Saccharomyces cerevisiae S288C: one gene and its partner. The gene in region 2 interacts genetically with the main gene of each other region. Each region holds a gene or a part of one and is shown on either strand. Other genes may lie near its edges. The genes, in order: CRH1 and TLD1.

Region 1 (4,913 bases), on a different chromosome or scaffold from region 2:
TGTCATCAGATTCAATGGAAACTGAACCATGAGAATTGGGGGGATAAAAGGATTAATGAGAGGTGACGTATAAAATCAAGATAAGAAACCATTACATAAAACGTTCAATTGCCTTTCTACTTGCATGTTTTCAATACCTCAAAAGGAGAATGTTTTGATATATGTTATATATCATTATTGTCTTCGCTAAGAACGAAATCTAACAATTCTATTTTGTAATTTACCTATTCAGCATATAATTGTTACAGAATTGGATTTTTATGTTCCTTGAGATAGCTTTCGATATTTTCTTCGTACAGCGTCGATGTCTCTAGTTTTTATCCAACCGCACTTTATATTTTAACGTTTGATGGTTTTCTATCTTGGCAGCGTTAGAACTTGATGACAATTTATGGAACTTAGTTTCCTATTAGAAAGGGTAACTGTGGCATAAATGTAATAGAAGTTTTCTTCGAGAATTATAAACTGTTAGAATAAGGACTACAACTATCATCTATTGTTGGAATGAAACTCTAAATTATCTTTTATTTAGTAGTATTCGTTTTACTAATATATTATCATATACGGTGTTAGATGATGGCATAAGTTATGAGAAGCGGTCATTGAAGTTAGAGGAAGCTGAAATGCGAGGATTGATAATGTAATAATGAAACATATAAAACGGAATGAGGAATAATCGTAATATTAGTATGTAGAAATATAGATTCCATTTTGAGGATTCCTAGATCCTCGAGGAGAACTTCTAGTATATTCTGTATACCTAATATTATAGCCTTTATCAAACAATGGAATCCCAACAATTATCTCGAAATTCACCCATCTCTCAGAATTATTCACCCAAATCTCAGAAGACTAAAAAAGAAAGAAATGTGGATAATCGAGTCTATAGATTCTTAATTACATATTAAACCTGAGAGGTCAGATTTCCAATAATAGAATAGCCTTGTTGGCGCAATCGGTAGCGCGTATGACTCTTAATCATAAGGTTAGGGGTTCGAGCCCCCTACAGGGCTTTCTTTTTTTCTTTAAAACACGATGACATAAATTTCCTTTGTATGAACCGTACCCTTAATAATAAAAGGAAAAATCATGCTTTAGGTATAAGACTTTCTGTTGTATTAAAATTTAGTATTTATTTTTATTATGCTATTATTTTTTTCGGTCTCAAATGTTACTTAGTGATCTACGAATATTGTTCTAAAAGAAATTTTCCACTTATAGCAAGGCTAGTAAAGCTACGAGTACGGAAAAAAGTTTTCCCTCTCTTGGTAAACTCTGAGCTAAATCAGCACCGTTAGAAATTTGAACAGAGTTTGTCGAGCTGGCTTCGGAGGAAGAACTTTGGATTGTAGATGTGTATTTGCTTGATATCTGGGTAGTAGAACTGGTCACGTCATTACTTGATGTTGCGACACCACCCTTATCTTGTACAGGACTGTCCGATGATACGGAAGATTGTTGAGTAGTTGGGGCAACTGTAGACCTAGTGGTAGAGGAAACAGTGGCTGGGGTCTTAGTGGAGGAAATAATGGACTCACTTGTAGAAGAGGAAGCCACTGTTTTCTTGGATGAAGAGGAGGATTGCTTTTCGAATGAACTAATGGAACTAGATGTGGTGACTGATGAGGAAGCAAGTGTTTTAGATGAAGTAGCGGTCGAAGAAGATGGAGATGTGGATGAAGAGGAAGATACAGAAGACGAAGAAGATACAGTGGAAGAAACCGAGGAAGACACAGTGGAAGAAGCCGAGGAGGACACAGTGGAAGAAACCGAGGAAGATACAGTGGAAGACGCCGAGGAAGATACAGTAGAAGAGGATGTAGAGCTGCTGGAAATACTACCACCGTTGGCTAAAACTGCGAAATCTTCTTGGGCTTGGTCATACCTGCCGTAAATAGAACCACCGTCAGCTTCAATAGATTCCCAAGAACCAGATTGGTCACCATATGTGTACTTTTTACCGGTAGAATAATCAGTTACAATGACCTTTTCAATGTACATAGTGAATGGAGCGTCATTGTAGTTGGTTTCACCACCAGCCCATTCAATGGTACCAGCAGCATTGTCTGGGTCACCACCGGCCCAGATACCCATCATTAGGTACATAGGAGATTGTGGGTAACCCTCACTTGATGTGTTTGATAATACTCTGACAGACTCTCCATCGAGGTACCAAGTCGTCTTGTCCATCGCCCAATCTAAAGTGTAGTTATGAAATTTGTCGGTAGGAGTGTCGACACCGTGAAATTCGCCTCTGTCGTATGTTGTGGTATCACCTTTAGAAAAGAAGTTAGATTGGAACTGAGTGTTGTCACCACCCACCCATTCAATATCAATTTCATCCAAATCATCACTTTGTAAATAGAATGATGAAACAATACCGGTACCATTGGCAGCTTTTAAGATAACTTCCAATTTACCATACATGATATAAAAGTTAGACTTCAAACTTGGATTATCGTATCTTTTCGCCAGTGTCATTGACAAACCGTCTGAACCGTACTTGATTTCACCTGCGTGCTTCAAGTCGGTAAACCATTTGGATGAAGATGAGAAATCTTCGCTAAAACTAGTTGCCAAAGCTGTATCCGGCGTACAACCTGTAGTTTTTAACGGGTTACACGAAGCAGTGCTAGAAGCTGCAGTTGTACTGTCTGCAGTAGCAGTACTTTCGGCAGCCGCGAATGTAGATAATAATGAAGAGGCACTGAGTACCGTTAGTAGGTCAAGCACTTTCATGGTTTTTTGCTGTATTGAATTATTATGAATATTATATTATCTTAACCTTTCTCTTGCTATTTAGTAGAAATGTAGAATATGGAGAGGAGTAGGCAATTATTGAAAGTTCCAAAAGTGTTTCACCTTTTGTTCTTTTTCATGTTACTAACCAGCAAGTATTTATATAACATCCATTGTTGCATGAGGGAAACCAGTAACCATACGCTCTAATTATATCACATTCCCGATTCGGAAACATTGCTTCTTGATCGAGCGAAAAGAAACTGCCCTTGCAATTAATAATGTCATTTTCGTATCCCATACCACGAAAAGCAAGCCCTCAGAGGTTCTAATGCATTATAGCTCAGATCTATTTTTACTTTCCTGGAAAACGCCATCGAAATAGTCGCCAAAAAAATCGATGGGCTGGGAAAACGCGTCATCAATTCAACCGAATAAGGAAAACTAAGCCACTTCACGCGGTTCGCGATATTTGTCCAGCCTCTTTTTCCGAAAAAAAAAAAATTAAATAATAAAATGAAACGGACAGGAATTGAACCTGCAACCCTTCGATTGCAATCTTATTCCGTGGAATTTCCAAGATTTAATTGGAGTCGAAAGCTCTACCATTGAGCCACCGCTTCATCTTGAAATATCGAAGATATAACATTTTACTTGTCTGCCGAAATTCTGTGTTTGCTATAATGTTTGAATTAGAATCTCTTAAAATAGCTACTCATACTTCTTCATAACTAATCCATTAGTGACCATATGAAGTAATCGGACGCCACACATCATTGATGTTTCACGATGGAGAATGATAACACACTAAGTGGCATTGTGGGCAAAGTAAGTTAAACACCTATTGCTCAAATGATCAACTTGGTGTTTGCACATATACGGATGTAAGTCATGACATTGAAATCATAATATGCTTTCATGATAATCATATGAGCATGTTTAATATTACTAATAAGGCTGTATTCTATACTTCTCTTATATAGAATAAGAAGATCTGCATTTATTCTTGATTGACACTACAGTTCAACAATTAATTACCAACAGAATTAATTACTACCTATCGTTCACAAGCTACTACGTTATCATACACAATGTAAAAATATGACACAAAAATGGAAAACCGTCATCAGATTTAATGGGGCTGAAACACAAGAATTCATAATGTGATAGAATAATGGGTGAAGTGTATAAAGAAGAATATATAATATTACTGTGTAGAAATATCAATTTCCCTTTGTGAGTTCTCATAACCTCGAGGAGAAGTTTTTTTACCCCTCTCCACAGATCGATACTTATCATTAAGAAAATGGGACACCAAGGTTACGGAAAAATCTACCCGGTCTACCTAATTACTCTCTTGGCGCACTAGTTTTCCGAAAAAAACAGGTAAATTCTTCTTTAGATAAAGATAAATATAAAACTTCACAGCCATTCACTCACACAAACTAGTCCCTTAGGGTGCGTATAATGATCTGTACATCTTATTTCTATATATCTTACCGTGTATTTTTTCTTTTCTCAATTCTTGTTCGCAAATAAAAAGATATTCGTGTTTGTGGAAGAACACTAGTTCCGTTTTGTATTCAACCTGGAAATTTACAATAGATCTTCATCATCGTATGTCTACCATGTTAATCTCCCGTTAAACTGTTTCACGTTATCAAGATTATGTCATCTATTCCTGGGCGAACATAATTCCTTACAAAAACATTTGTCATTACACAAGTGTAAGGGGTAATGAAAAGTAATTTTGTTACAAGTACGCAAAATTCGTTTATTTCAAGAAACACTAAGGATCGTCATTTCCCTTTCTGACCGATGTTCCTTCTTTTTGCTATTTTTTTCCCGAGTCATCTCATCGTTTTGAGTTTTTCCTAGTCCATTAAATTGTCACCTTACTCTCGGAAAAAAGAAACGACAAATGCTCCTAGTGCCGTTTTTCGAAGCTTGAAAAAAAAAATTGCAAATTATTTAATTTTGCTGCTAAGGAGTTGAAGTAGGTGCATTCCGCCTTATTGATCACCCTGTTAGATTTGTTGCGATCGTTATAGTGCTAGTTTGTCCATTGTTGTGTCATAAAAGATAGCTTTGGGAGAAAATTCATCAAAACAACATATCATCAGCGTTATTACAATTCATTGTCCTTCCCAAGTTTTTTTGACGTATAATATTAT
Region 2 (11,698 bases):
TTCGGGATTGGAGCTTCCATCGCAAGACTATACAAACGTTGAAGAAAAAGAAAGTAGCCCGAAAACTGACTTTCCATTAATTACAAAGGAACATGTAAACACGAAAACTGACAGCAATATTCTCGATTATCCCACCATAGGCGATTTAGTTTCCTCAGTAGAGAAATTATGTGTCTTGAAAGAATTGAAGATAGCATTTCCAGAAGTAGATGATACATTAATTAAAGCCATTTTAATTGCCTCCCAAGGGGTTTTGGAGCCGGCATTCAATTCTTTACTCTACTACTCAAGTCCGGAGGAAAACACTGACTTTGCATTACCAATGAAGCCGATAAGTGTGGAAGACTATAGTAAAATAAATGTGTCTGAGATTTTGCAACGTGAAATATTCGATGATATTGAAGACGAATTTTCTGGTCAAGGAATAAATGGCTCCATGGTAATTTCAAAAATTGAATCAGAACTAAGTTCTTTGGCCGAACACATTGGCAACATTAGCACCCCCGGATCGAATAGAGAAGTCGCCGAATCGACTAGGAACGTGGCTGTTGCAGAGGGCCATAATACAATTTTATCAAACGAAGATAGTATACTCAAGGGAAAAGAGAAGGGAAAAGAGGAGGAAAAGGAGAAGGGAGAAGAAAAGGGAGTTAACAGCTTAAAAGGCGCCGCTGTGAAAGTTGTTGCGAAGTCATTGAAGAATAATCGCATTCCCGTCACTGTGAAGAGAAATGAGCCTTCAAACAATTTATTTGACGTTTTAAACTGCGACGAAAGCGAGGAAGAAGAAGAGCAAGATGTCGAAACCAATACGTCGAATCAAGAAAGGAAGAACCAGGGCGGTAATACTGAAGTGCCGGAGGCTCAGCGTGACAGTGCAGATAGGTTACCTGCCAAGGACGACGGTGGATACAAATCTGCCTTTGGCACTGATAGTTGTGGTCTATTTGCAGCTGACGCTAAAGATGAAAAAAAGCAGGTTCATCCATCTAGACAAGAATTAAGTTTTACGTAGTGTATAGCGGTAATGTTTATTAACTCTTTCGGCAAAGTGCGTTTGGGCTCGCAATGAACAGACACCACCATTGCTTCTTCTGCGCTTATTTGCCTTTGTTGTATATCTAGTTCTCAAAATGGAGTCATTCATCAGTCGATGTGTGGGCGGAAATGACGTTCATCTAGCAATGGCACACTAGTTTTTACTCAACAATTCAAACTCAATGGAAAGCCAGGAAGTTAGCGCCGGGAAACTTCAGGACAATATAAAAACAGGACTAACGGAAGAAAATAATGTGGGCCTTTTTGAGCAACGCTGACGGTAAGTAGTTTCCTACGATCGTACAATCCCGGAAAATTGTAGTGGTGCAAGAAGGGAAAAGAATGATGGCGAAAAATGCACGCGCGTAAATAATGATTTGTCGAGTCCTATTGACCACAAAACCCGCGGAAACCTAGTTAGCCCAAAAGGAAATGGATAGCATATGAAAAACGAAACGAAACGTCCTTTTGCACGGCAGAAAGAGCTTAGTAGGACCCGGGACAAATGCAAGTTAGATTCCTTGATTCCCGAATGCTCGGTCTTGCGTTTCGCCGTGGCTGCATGGAAGGTCATCGTACGGGTACGGGCAGTCTGGCTGAGTGGTGCCGCCAAAGTGCAATAGCTGTCAGTAGGGCGTGAGGAATGTAAAAGGCAAGAAAACATGTACGAGGGAAGAGAAGGGGGCAAAAGAAAGATAATAGGAACGGTGTAGATGAACTAGAAAAGGTTCAAGAGATGATAAACGTGAAGGGAGTGTCATATCTACCGACATAAAGATAGAGATCTTTTTTTTTCCTTTATTTTTTTTTTTGATTTTTTTTTTTGATTTTCTTGATATTAGTTTTTAGAAGTCCTTTGACGGGGCAGCCGGAGAATATATACCAACGGCATTCTATTGTCTTTTTTTCTTCCTTCCTTGCCAGGCATCTGCATCCATTATTGCCTTTAGTTACAATGTTTTTTTTCCCGAAGCTTAGAAAACTTATAGGTTCAACTGTGATCGATCACGATACCAAGAACTCATCAGGAAAGGAAGAGATCATGTCAAATAGCCGATTAGCACTTGTTATTATCAACCACGCCTTTGATAAGGTACTATCTTTGACGTGGCACTGCGGGATATTATCCGAAATAAGATCAGGACTGATGTTAATGTTTGGCATTTTCCAGTTGATGTGCTCTTTGGGTGTCATCGTATTGCTGTTGCCTATTATCATACTGGACGCGATCGATCTATTCCTCTACATGTGCAGGTTGCTTGATTACGGTTGCAAGTTATTCCACTACAATAGATCATCATTACCGGTGGCAGATGGAAAAGAAAAGACCAGTGGTCCCATAAGCGGAAAGGAGGAAATAGTTATTGATGAGGAGATAATTAATATGCTAAATGAATCCTCAGAATCATTGATCAATCATACTACAGCTGGTCTGGAATATGATATTAGTTCAGGTAGTGTTAACAAAAGTAGGCGTTTGAATTCAACTAGTACAGTTACATTTGTGAAGCAGAATAAACTTGTTAATGAAAGGAGGGAAGACGCCTACTACGAGGAAGAGGATGATGATTTCCTATCAAATCCGAATTATGATAAGATATCATTGATCGAAAAATCATTCACGAGTCGTTTTGAAGTGGCTTGTGAGCAGAAAGCTGCTTAAATTGATAATCAAGGTCAAGGCAACGCAACGCCACTGCTAAGAACACTTATTGCTACAGAAAGGAAACTAAAAATAATTATAAGGCTAGAGAGAAATAAAAACAAAATAAGAGAGATAATATGGGTAAGGGTCTGCCACCCATCTGATAAAAGGCTGTTCTATCTTTTGGAACTCTACAACACAGGTAAACGGATGATACTGGCTATATTTATATAGATAAACAAACTTGCAGGACAGATAGTTAAGCGTCTATATCATGTGTATTTTAAGCGAAGAAAAAAGTACAAAAATGATAAAAGGCAAAAAAGATGAGAAGTTTTTTTTGTGATAAAATTAATTATTAAAAAATACACACGTAGTTAAAATTAACAGCGGGGGAGGAAACCTTAAGAGAAAGAGAAACAAAAAAAAAGAAAGGAAACAAATAAAAATGAGGGTGACCCGAACATGTTGATACCGTTTCCTAATACTGCTTCCTTATTTCATTTGATAGTTACTTTCGTTTATTGAATGAGCTTAATCTTGTAGGACAATGTACAAGGCATATAGCATACCTGGGAACCAAGCCAAAATGGTCAAAATGATATCCACTATACAGTCAGTACCCCACCCACGGGCTAGAAAAACGGCGACTGGTGGTAAGAAAAGGGATAATATAATGTTAATGATCTTGGCAGAATCCATTGTTGTATTGTGCTGTGCTGTTTAGTTCAAAATGTATAATCAATTGTATTATACTGGCGAAAAACAACAACCGATAGTAAATTTTCTTCTTTTTTTCCTTTCCCTCTTCCAAAACAAAAACACTCACTTCCTCTTTTGTATTTATAGAGGCGCCCATCGCAAAATAACCAGGACCCCCTTTTGAGGGCGTGGTTAAAGGGCACCCAGAGCCCACACCCATTGCATCTTCCGCTATTAGGGGACTGCGGAAGTGAGGGGAGCAGTAAATAGTGATCTTTGTAATTTTCTGCAAAATCCCTCTCGCTGTCTCGGGTTTTTCGATTCAGAGGACCTTCCCCCCCCCATGTTCCGAGATCGGTTTTGGTGGTTAGAAGGCCGGAGGAAAGACATTTACCGCTTGCGCGCGGCTTCTTCTGTATGCTGTGCTCAACTACCAAGAGAAGGATTACGCGCACGGATACGTTGGATGTCTGCGATTGGTGATGCTAAGAACTAAAGGTATTTCGTCATCGTATGGTTTGATCTTCGCTACCCTTGACTCTTTACTGCGATAACGGTACCACGTTCCCATAAAATTCTTATTACTAAATCTCTATAAAGCTGCAACAGCTAGTTTGTATATATAAATCATTGGCGCTTCTTCCTCAATTCCTTGGGAATTTGGAGCTCCTCTATTAAAACTGATGTCCATGGGATAGTATTGATACAATCGAAGAGTCTCCAAAAAAACCATCGGGAAGGTTTCTTTTTAGTATCTTCAGGATACTGAATCCGGCTGCCAATCCAATCCTAATCTTTGGTAAACTTGTGCCTGACATTGCGACCATATCGTAGCCTTTTCTTCTTTAGATAAGCTGACTTTGTTTTTTCCCTGTTGATTTGTTGCGGCGCTTGATCTCATCATCAATTCATCAAGGTTATTATTGGGGTTTTTCAACTGAATGTTCTTCAATAAAGCCTTTTTCAGAAGCGATTTTGTTTCTGTGCTGTTTTTCCGCGGTATTATGCTTGGTGGGGGCATGTCCGGTCTTTTTAAGTTGGACTGTTGTAACTTCCATTTCTTATATTCGGAGCATCTTTGTTTGAAATCAAACCTGCATTGTGCCTCTACTGCTATATTTAAGAGGTAATTTTCGATGATATTTCTCCATTCCGGTTTCGACAAATTCATGACGGCTTCATTTCTACCAGTTATATGCTCATGTCTTTTTCTAGCGGTCGCTACTGTATATTTGGCGCTGGTTAGTTTGAATTCATAATCTAAGTTAGCCTCCATGTACAGATCCGAATGGACTAACGTTGCGATTATGGTCTCATCGCTAGAATATAGTGGTAATAATTGTAACCTAAACTGGGGCATATTATCACCCACCGTTATTACTTCCGGTAGTTGATTACCCCATTCGGGCCTTAACTTCTCGACTATCAATAACGATCTTATATCGTTTAAATCCCAATCCAATAACTCTCTCTTGGTAAACTTGGGACGCCCGTTACAGAGAATGTTGGATGGGTCTGCTAATAGAATATCTGGCGAATACATGTCATAAAACGTTTTGGGTAATGCTTCATCCAGGCTCACTCTCGTGATTAACTTGTGGTTAGGAAATTCGGAGAACGAAGAGTCATTAGTTAGTTGCGTGTGCACAGTAGAGGGGGCAGAAAATATACTTGATTGATAAGACGAGGCATTATCCGAAAGTAAACTCCCACTTTCAGCCACGCTTGATCTCCTGCTCGCTGAATGCATACTGCTTGAATGATGTGACCTTCTGCTAGGTGAGGAGGCCAATAATCTTTTTTTAATCTCATCTCTAGCTCTATCAGTGTACTCCGGAGGAGCATTCACAAAGTTCTCTCTTCTCGAAGAAGTCGTGGATTGAGAGCTACTCATTGATAGTGGCAAACTTTGAAAAGAAGCATTATCACTGCCACTCATCGTGTTTTCCGGAATGGCCTGTAGGGAGCTTGCAAACCCATGATTACTGTTAGTCGATTCTAATGGACGTCGTTGTAAAACTTGGTTTTTCGAAGTTGCTGGTGGTGGTGAAACAAACATTCCTTTGAGTGTGTGTACTCTATGCGTTCGAATAAAATTCTCTTTGTATTGCTGCTTGTGGTTTCGCTATTGAGAACTTTCAATATACGTTAAAAAATACTTGGAGTGAAATGAACAAATCTTTTTGTATGTTTCCTTAAGTTATTAAAAAACTCCATGCTGTTTTTTAATAAAAAAAGAAGCAGTTACAGGCGCATTACAAAGTTTGAGAAGAAAGGAAAAATGTCATTTGGTTATATAAATTTTTTTTCTTAATGGAGATTGAGGCAGCAATAAAATGTGGGATGAAAAAAAAAAAAAAAGGCACTTGAATAAGGGGTAGAATGGCAGATATTCCATGTCTACGGTAGTTTCACTGGAGAAATGGACTCGTATTTTCTCTCACGATGAATTTTTCCACAAAATTATAAGATGAGGAAATGTGTGGGGCAGTCATCCTAACAAAACTCGCACGGACTCCATTTCCCCGGACCTTTTTCCCGCTTGTTCTAGGGAATAATTTCGGAATAATTTTAGGGACTTCATAGTATGACTGGGTTTCAAGGAACGGAAAAACTGGTTAGTACCGCGTTATTCTGCCATTTGCTGATCGTTTTAGTGGAGGAGCGGAGGAGGGGGCGGGGTGATAACTTTTTTTCCGCTTTACAATAGAGAAAAGTCCAAGTAAGTCTCGGCGTGAGATGGCCTTGATGTTATTAGTACCGGCGGCTCCCTAATAGTTTACTAATACGCATACCTTATGTCATATTTTTCCATCAAATATTGATCAGTAGAAAACCTTGGCAATGTACATAGAGCTACACTTTTTTGGATATGGAGTATTAGAGAAAACTGGGTTTGGTGGGCGAAGAGAGATGTTCCCTACCTCCTCAAGAGTCTTCAACTATGAATTTCACACCATATCCTTATCTAAACGAACTATGGGGTGGTCAGCTAACGCAAGTATTGAATTCTTTCTCTTAAAGTACCCCTAAGTTGAAGAATTCATTTTAATCTTCCTTGCTTTGTCCCCCCCCCCTAGAAGCATAGTTTTGTCTTAACGCTGTAACGGTCTTGTATGCTTATTTTGGTGGTAGGGATCGGTTTGCACCTTGGAAATGCTATGTTTACTTTATTAAAAAAATAATTAGTTTTCCTCCAAAACGTAAACAAATATAAGTTTGAGAGACAAAGAAAAGAATGAAAGAGTCTTATATATATATAAGTTAGCTGGTAGCATAACCATTTTTCTCGACTTATTTATAAAACATTCGACATACTTCCATATTTCAAGCATTAATATGAGACCTAGAATTTTTTCAAGCTAACTTATGTACATTGTAGTTATATGATGAGGAAAAATGTACACAACAGCTTGTGCTGTTTATTCCCATCGTATGTTGCGGTAATGCAAACAGCAATAGAAAAAAAATTGATATAAGAAGAATATGACTAGTAGCATCACAGTGAAACAGTAACGGTAAATGAATCAGCATGTGAATTTTTCTAGAAAATAAAAAAGAAACTCCGAAGCGGGGAGTCGAACCCCGGTCTCCACGGTGAGAACGTGATGTGATAGCCGTTACACTACATCGGATTGTACCTTGGTGATAGTTTGACCTAAAAGAAACGTTCATTATGTAATGAAGAAAGCCAATTATTCGGTCGCAAATCAAGGTTCTGTTAGGGAATATGATTTTCTTTGACTCTCAATGAGTTCTCTTATGACTATTTAGGGGCTAAATTATTTGTTATGGCAATATTATTAGGTAGGAAAGATACGACTTTACTGAAATTGTTGGAAATACAAAAAGGAGCAGATCATTCCACATAATGATATCATTATTCCCTCTTTCATTTAAAAAATCACCGTTTTTATTTTATTAATTATCAGTCTCTGCATTTTCAGATTCTGTTAAATTTGATAAATGTTTTTCGCCGTTTATAAAGTATTTTTGCATCATGTATGATAATGTATTAGTAATATGAAAACTGGTGTTATTAATAATCAGTGGTCAGGATGTAGTATTAGTTTGGAATAAAAGCAAATCTCCTCATGCTATATAAGAGGAATATAGAAAATACAGGCCAGTTGTTCTTATTAAACATGAACATAATAGTGGGTCTAGCAGTTACTATACATTTAAATTGGCGACTACTATTATTCGTACATTCGACTATAGCAGTATTTCCAATTAATGGATCTTTAACTCAGCTATTATACTGTTTGAGTTCCTCGTTTAACATTTCCCTGTCCAACAGGGACTTAAAAGTATGTAGGGTTTGCATTAATATACAGTAGAGACACTTAAATTGTTACTATAGTAACTCAAGTTACTATTCGTGAGAATATTGACTTATTATTCTTCATGAATAGTCGATTAGTAATCAAATGAAGTAATCAGATGTGCAATGCGTCTTTAATGTTTCAGACTGGAGAATGATACGTAGCTACATAATAATCTGGGTACAGTAAACTCAATGATCTATTACCTGAATGATTAATCTGATGCTTGCAATATAACAATTCATCTCGTGACATTAACCATAAGAATTACTCTCATCATTGCTATATCGGCAAGGTTTAATATGTCCAGTCGGAGTGTATTTTATATCTCTTTCTTTTAGAATAAGAATATCTGCTTTTATTCTTAATCAATACTACAACCTAACTACTAACTATCAACACTGTTAATTACGATTCGCTCCAACAAATTTGGTTTTGTGGATTCTTAAATTCTCGAGAAAAACTTCTAATATATCTTGTATACCAGATACTGTAGCCTTTAGCAACGATAGAATACGAACAGTTCTCTTAAAATTCGCCTATTTCTCATACCGTTGCAGATATAACTAAAGTATTGACATTCAGTGACATCTGGCGCTGATATCATTATTTAACACACGTATGTTTGCGTGGCATTGTCATTTTTAAGAGCAGAGAAAGAAACAATGAGCTACTTGAGTGTGACAAGTTGAAAAGTCCACCAATTTCACGTTGAATTAGGATTCATATATGAAATTCTAGTCATTAATTAGAATTGTAAGTTTCTGAGCTTTTTTTTCCTAGTAAATTAAACTTGTCTAATACATCCAGTTGTGATGTATTCTATATCTCAGTTCTACAGTAGCACGAAGTTTCCCGGCCTCTCTATTCAATAAATTCAGCTATCGCTGATTATCAACAGCAGCAACGAATAAAGCATAAAAGAACAGAAAAATTCTTCTACAAATTTATTCTGTAAAGATTCAGCTTCTTTCGTGAATTTCTAAGTTCATGAGGGGAATTTAAGTATGGCGTTTCTTCGTAGCGCCATTGTCTTGAGCCAAAATGGAACTCTAAAAATTTTCACGACATTTTACTAGTCAGTAAAGTGAGCATATACATATAAGAAGAAATTTCAAAAGGTAAAAAATGGAGCAACTTCCAGCTCATTATCTTTTCAATGTTGTCGATGCCATAGTTGGATTATGAAATCTCATATTCATAACCACAACGCGTTTTTTTCCTTTTAAGGCACTACAGACTCCATTCTCACAAGTTTGTCAAAAGCACGAGCGCGATGAGAATTAAAGTCAGATCTGGTTAATGATTCTGGTACAACAGCAGAAACAAATCGAGTACAAATTTAATCTTATTCTGTCGCAATAGTTGACTTTCTTTTCTGGCCTCTCGAACAAAAAGCATGACCGTTTCCAACATTGGGGGGGAAGAACGACTAATAATTTTACCAGACGATTATGAAACTTCGAAAACTATAAACACTTTTACACTGCCGCCACCTTCCAATATTACATCCAAACCTCGTATCGAGCTCTTCGAAAATATTAATGGAAAACTTTACGAAATAAGATCTTTTCAATTCGGCAAAGGGCCCTCGTATTCACATGAGGAAGATTTGGCAAATGATAAATATCACTATACTAAGGAAAATCACCCGATCAAATCAACTTTCATTGTAAATACGTCTGATCCCACCGATGGTTATGTTTTTAACTCAAGCAAAATACACTTTTGTTCTTTATACGATATTGCTTTTAGTTTGATTGGATTTTACTATAGAAACAGTGTTTCAGCAGATGAACAAGATTACTCCAATTCAAGTGATACTGGTGAAAACCAAAAAAGCAACAGCAAAACCAATGAGAAATTTCTTACGGTGCGTGATTACCATGATTTCTTAACGGATAACCATGACAAGAATTGGGAAAACATTTCTTTAAGTCGTCTCAAGAGTGGCTTAGCAAAAGTTAGTGAAACCATTGAGGAAGCTGGTGACGTCTATTACAAGATCACATCTGCAATGATAACACAATTTTTGTTAGGCAAGGTATCAAAAATTGTAGAAAACTTTCCTCCAAGTATCCCTACACTTAAAAATGCCCCAACGGAAATAAAACAGTGCTACAAGGTAGTTATGGCTACAAATCTTTTAGTTTCCCTGATTCCAAGGGCGGCCTACCATAATTTACTTACCTTTTCACCTACAATGGATAGTGGTTGCCTAAATCCGGATATAAAAGCTAGCTTCATAGAACTCGAAAACTACGAGACTACGAACGAATTACAGAATGCTGAAAGAGAATTACTGATGAAAAGTGCCATGAATGTAGGCCTAAATTCGAATGGCAGGGTTTCATTGCCAGTGAAAAAAGTTACCAAAAAAATAGTTCAAAATAAAAAACCAAAAGTAGCCATAGGAAAAGGGGCCATTGATGGATTTTTTAAACGTAAGTAGCTAGTATCATAATTAAACAGCAATTTGAATGCTATAACTCGGTGGTGATGACCTCAGTGCGAGATAATTACACAATATTGTCACTACCAACGAATGGGCTACCTTTTTTTTCCTTTCTCGAATTCAAGAAAAAATTAACAACTTTTCCCTCGATGATGTTAACAAATGTCTGAATATAAAGGAATAGGAAACGGTTGCTAGATTGTATTTACCTTACCAACTTTCAAGTTTTTTTTCTAACTTCCTAACTTTCAGTCTCGATACATTAATCAACAGGACGTAGTGATTGCAAAATTGTTCAGAATATACATTAGATTAAAAGACAAATGGCCAAAGACATTGAGATATCCGCATCCGAGTCAAAATTTATCTTAGAAGCACTGAGACAGAATTATAGGTTGGACGGCCGCTCCTTTGATCAATTTCGTGACGTGGAAATAACGTTTGGTAAAGAATTTGGTGATGTTAGCGTAAAAATGGGCAACACCAAAGTTCACTGCAGGATTAGTTGTCAAATAGCACAACCATACGAAGACAGGCCATTTGAAGGATTATTTGTAATATCTACAGAAATATCTCCTATGGCTGGTTCTCAATTTGAAAATGGAAATATCACGGGGGAAGATGAAGTTTTATGTTCAAGAATAATTGAAAAATCTGTTAGGCGGTCGGGCGCATTGGACGTGGAAGGACTATGTATCGTTGCTGGCAGTAAATGCTGGGCTGTGAGAGCTGATGTACATTTCCTGGATTGTGATGGTGGATTTATTGACGCTTCGTGTATTGCCGTCATGGCAGGATTGATGCATTTTAAGAAACCAGATATAACTGTCCATGGCGAGCAGATCATTGTTCATCCTGTTAATGAAAGAGAGCCAGTTCCACTAGGTATACTGCATATTCCAATATGTGTAACTTTTTCTTTCTTCAATCCTCAAGACACCGAGGAAAACATAAAAGGTGAGACTAACTCAGAAATTTCCATCATTGATGCAACATTGAAAGAGGAACTACTGCGAGATGGTGTATTGACGGTTACGCTAAACAAAAACCGTGAAGTGGTACAAGTTTCCAAAGCGGGTGGTTTACCAATGGATGCGTTGACGCTAATGAAATGTTGTCACGAGGCTTACAGCATTATTGAGAAAATAACTGATCAAATACTGCAGCTTTTAAAGGAGGATTCAGAAAAGAGAAACAAGTATGCAGCCATGCTTACATCTGAAAATGCCCGCGAGATCTAATATTAACGAAAAAACTGAAATAAAAGCAACGCTTATACATATACATGCATGCATTAATATATGTATATATATCGGTACGTATAGATTGTAAAATTACACTTACTACTAAAGGCAGTATGAAAGACGCCCGCAGTTTTTTTCCTACTGTTTTCTTGACTGCGGTGTTCAAAAACATAAAAATCATTAAATTACTATAAAACAAACGCATACTGCGAAGAAAAAAGGCTCGGCTATAAATGCATATGAGAAAATATTATCTTTTGCCTCCCTGCTTAATTTCTGAAGGCATGTA

Evidence for each region.
Region 1: of TLD1 (region 2) and CRH1, extra expression of one rescues a mutant of the other (dosage rescue), as found in Saccharomyces cerevisiae (one study listed by BioGRID).

Annotation. Positions count from the first base shown.
Region 1 is NC_001139.9:875,454-880,366, forward strand, and holds CRH1 (transglycosylase), read right to left. Parts: upstream 2,740-4,913; coding exon 1,216-2,739; downstream 1-1,215. UniProt on the Saccharomyces cerevisiae protein: Dual chitinase/transglycosylase that plays a role in cell wall architecture. Chitinase and transglycosylase activities are coupled. Required for the polysaccharide cross-linking at the septa and the cell wall.
Region 2 is NC_001136.10:1,010,259-1,021,956, forward strand, and holds TLD1 (triglyceride-associated lipolysis regulator TLD1), read left to right. Parts: upstream 1-1,993; coding exon 1,994-2,701; downstream 2,702-11,698. Other genes in the region: DON1 (Don1p), read left to right, coding at 1-1,015; YDR274C (uncharacterized protein), read right to left, coding at 1,331-1,702; PMP3 (Pmp3p), read right to left, coding at 3,218-3,385; MTH1 (Mth1p), read right to left, coding at 4,143-5,444; RNH202 (Rnh202p), read left to right, coding at 9,110-10,162; exosome non-catalytic core subunit RRP45, read left to right, coding at 10,489-11,406.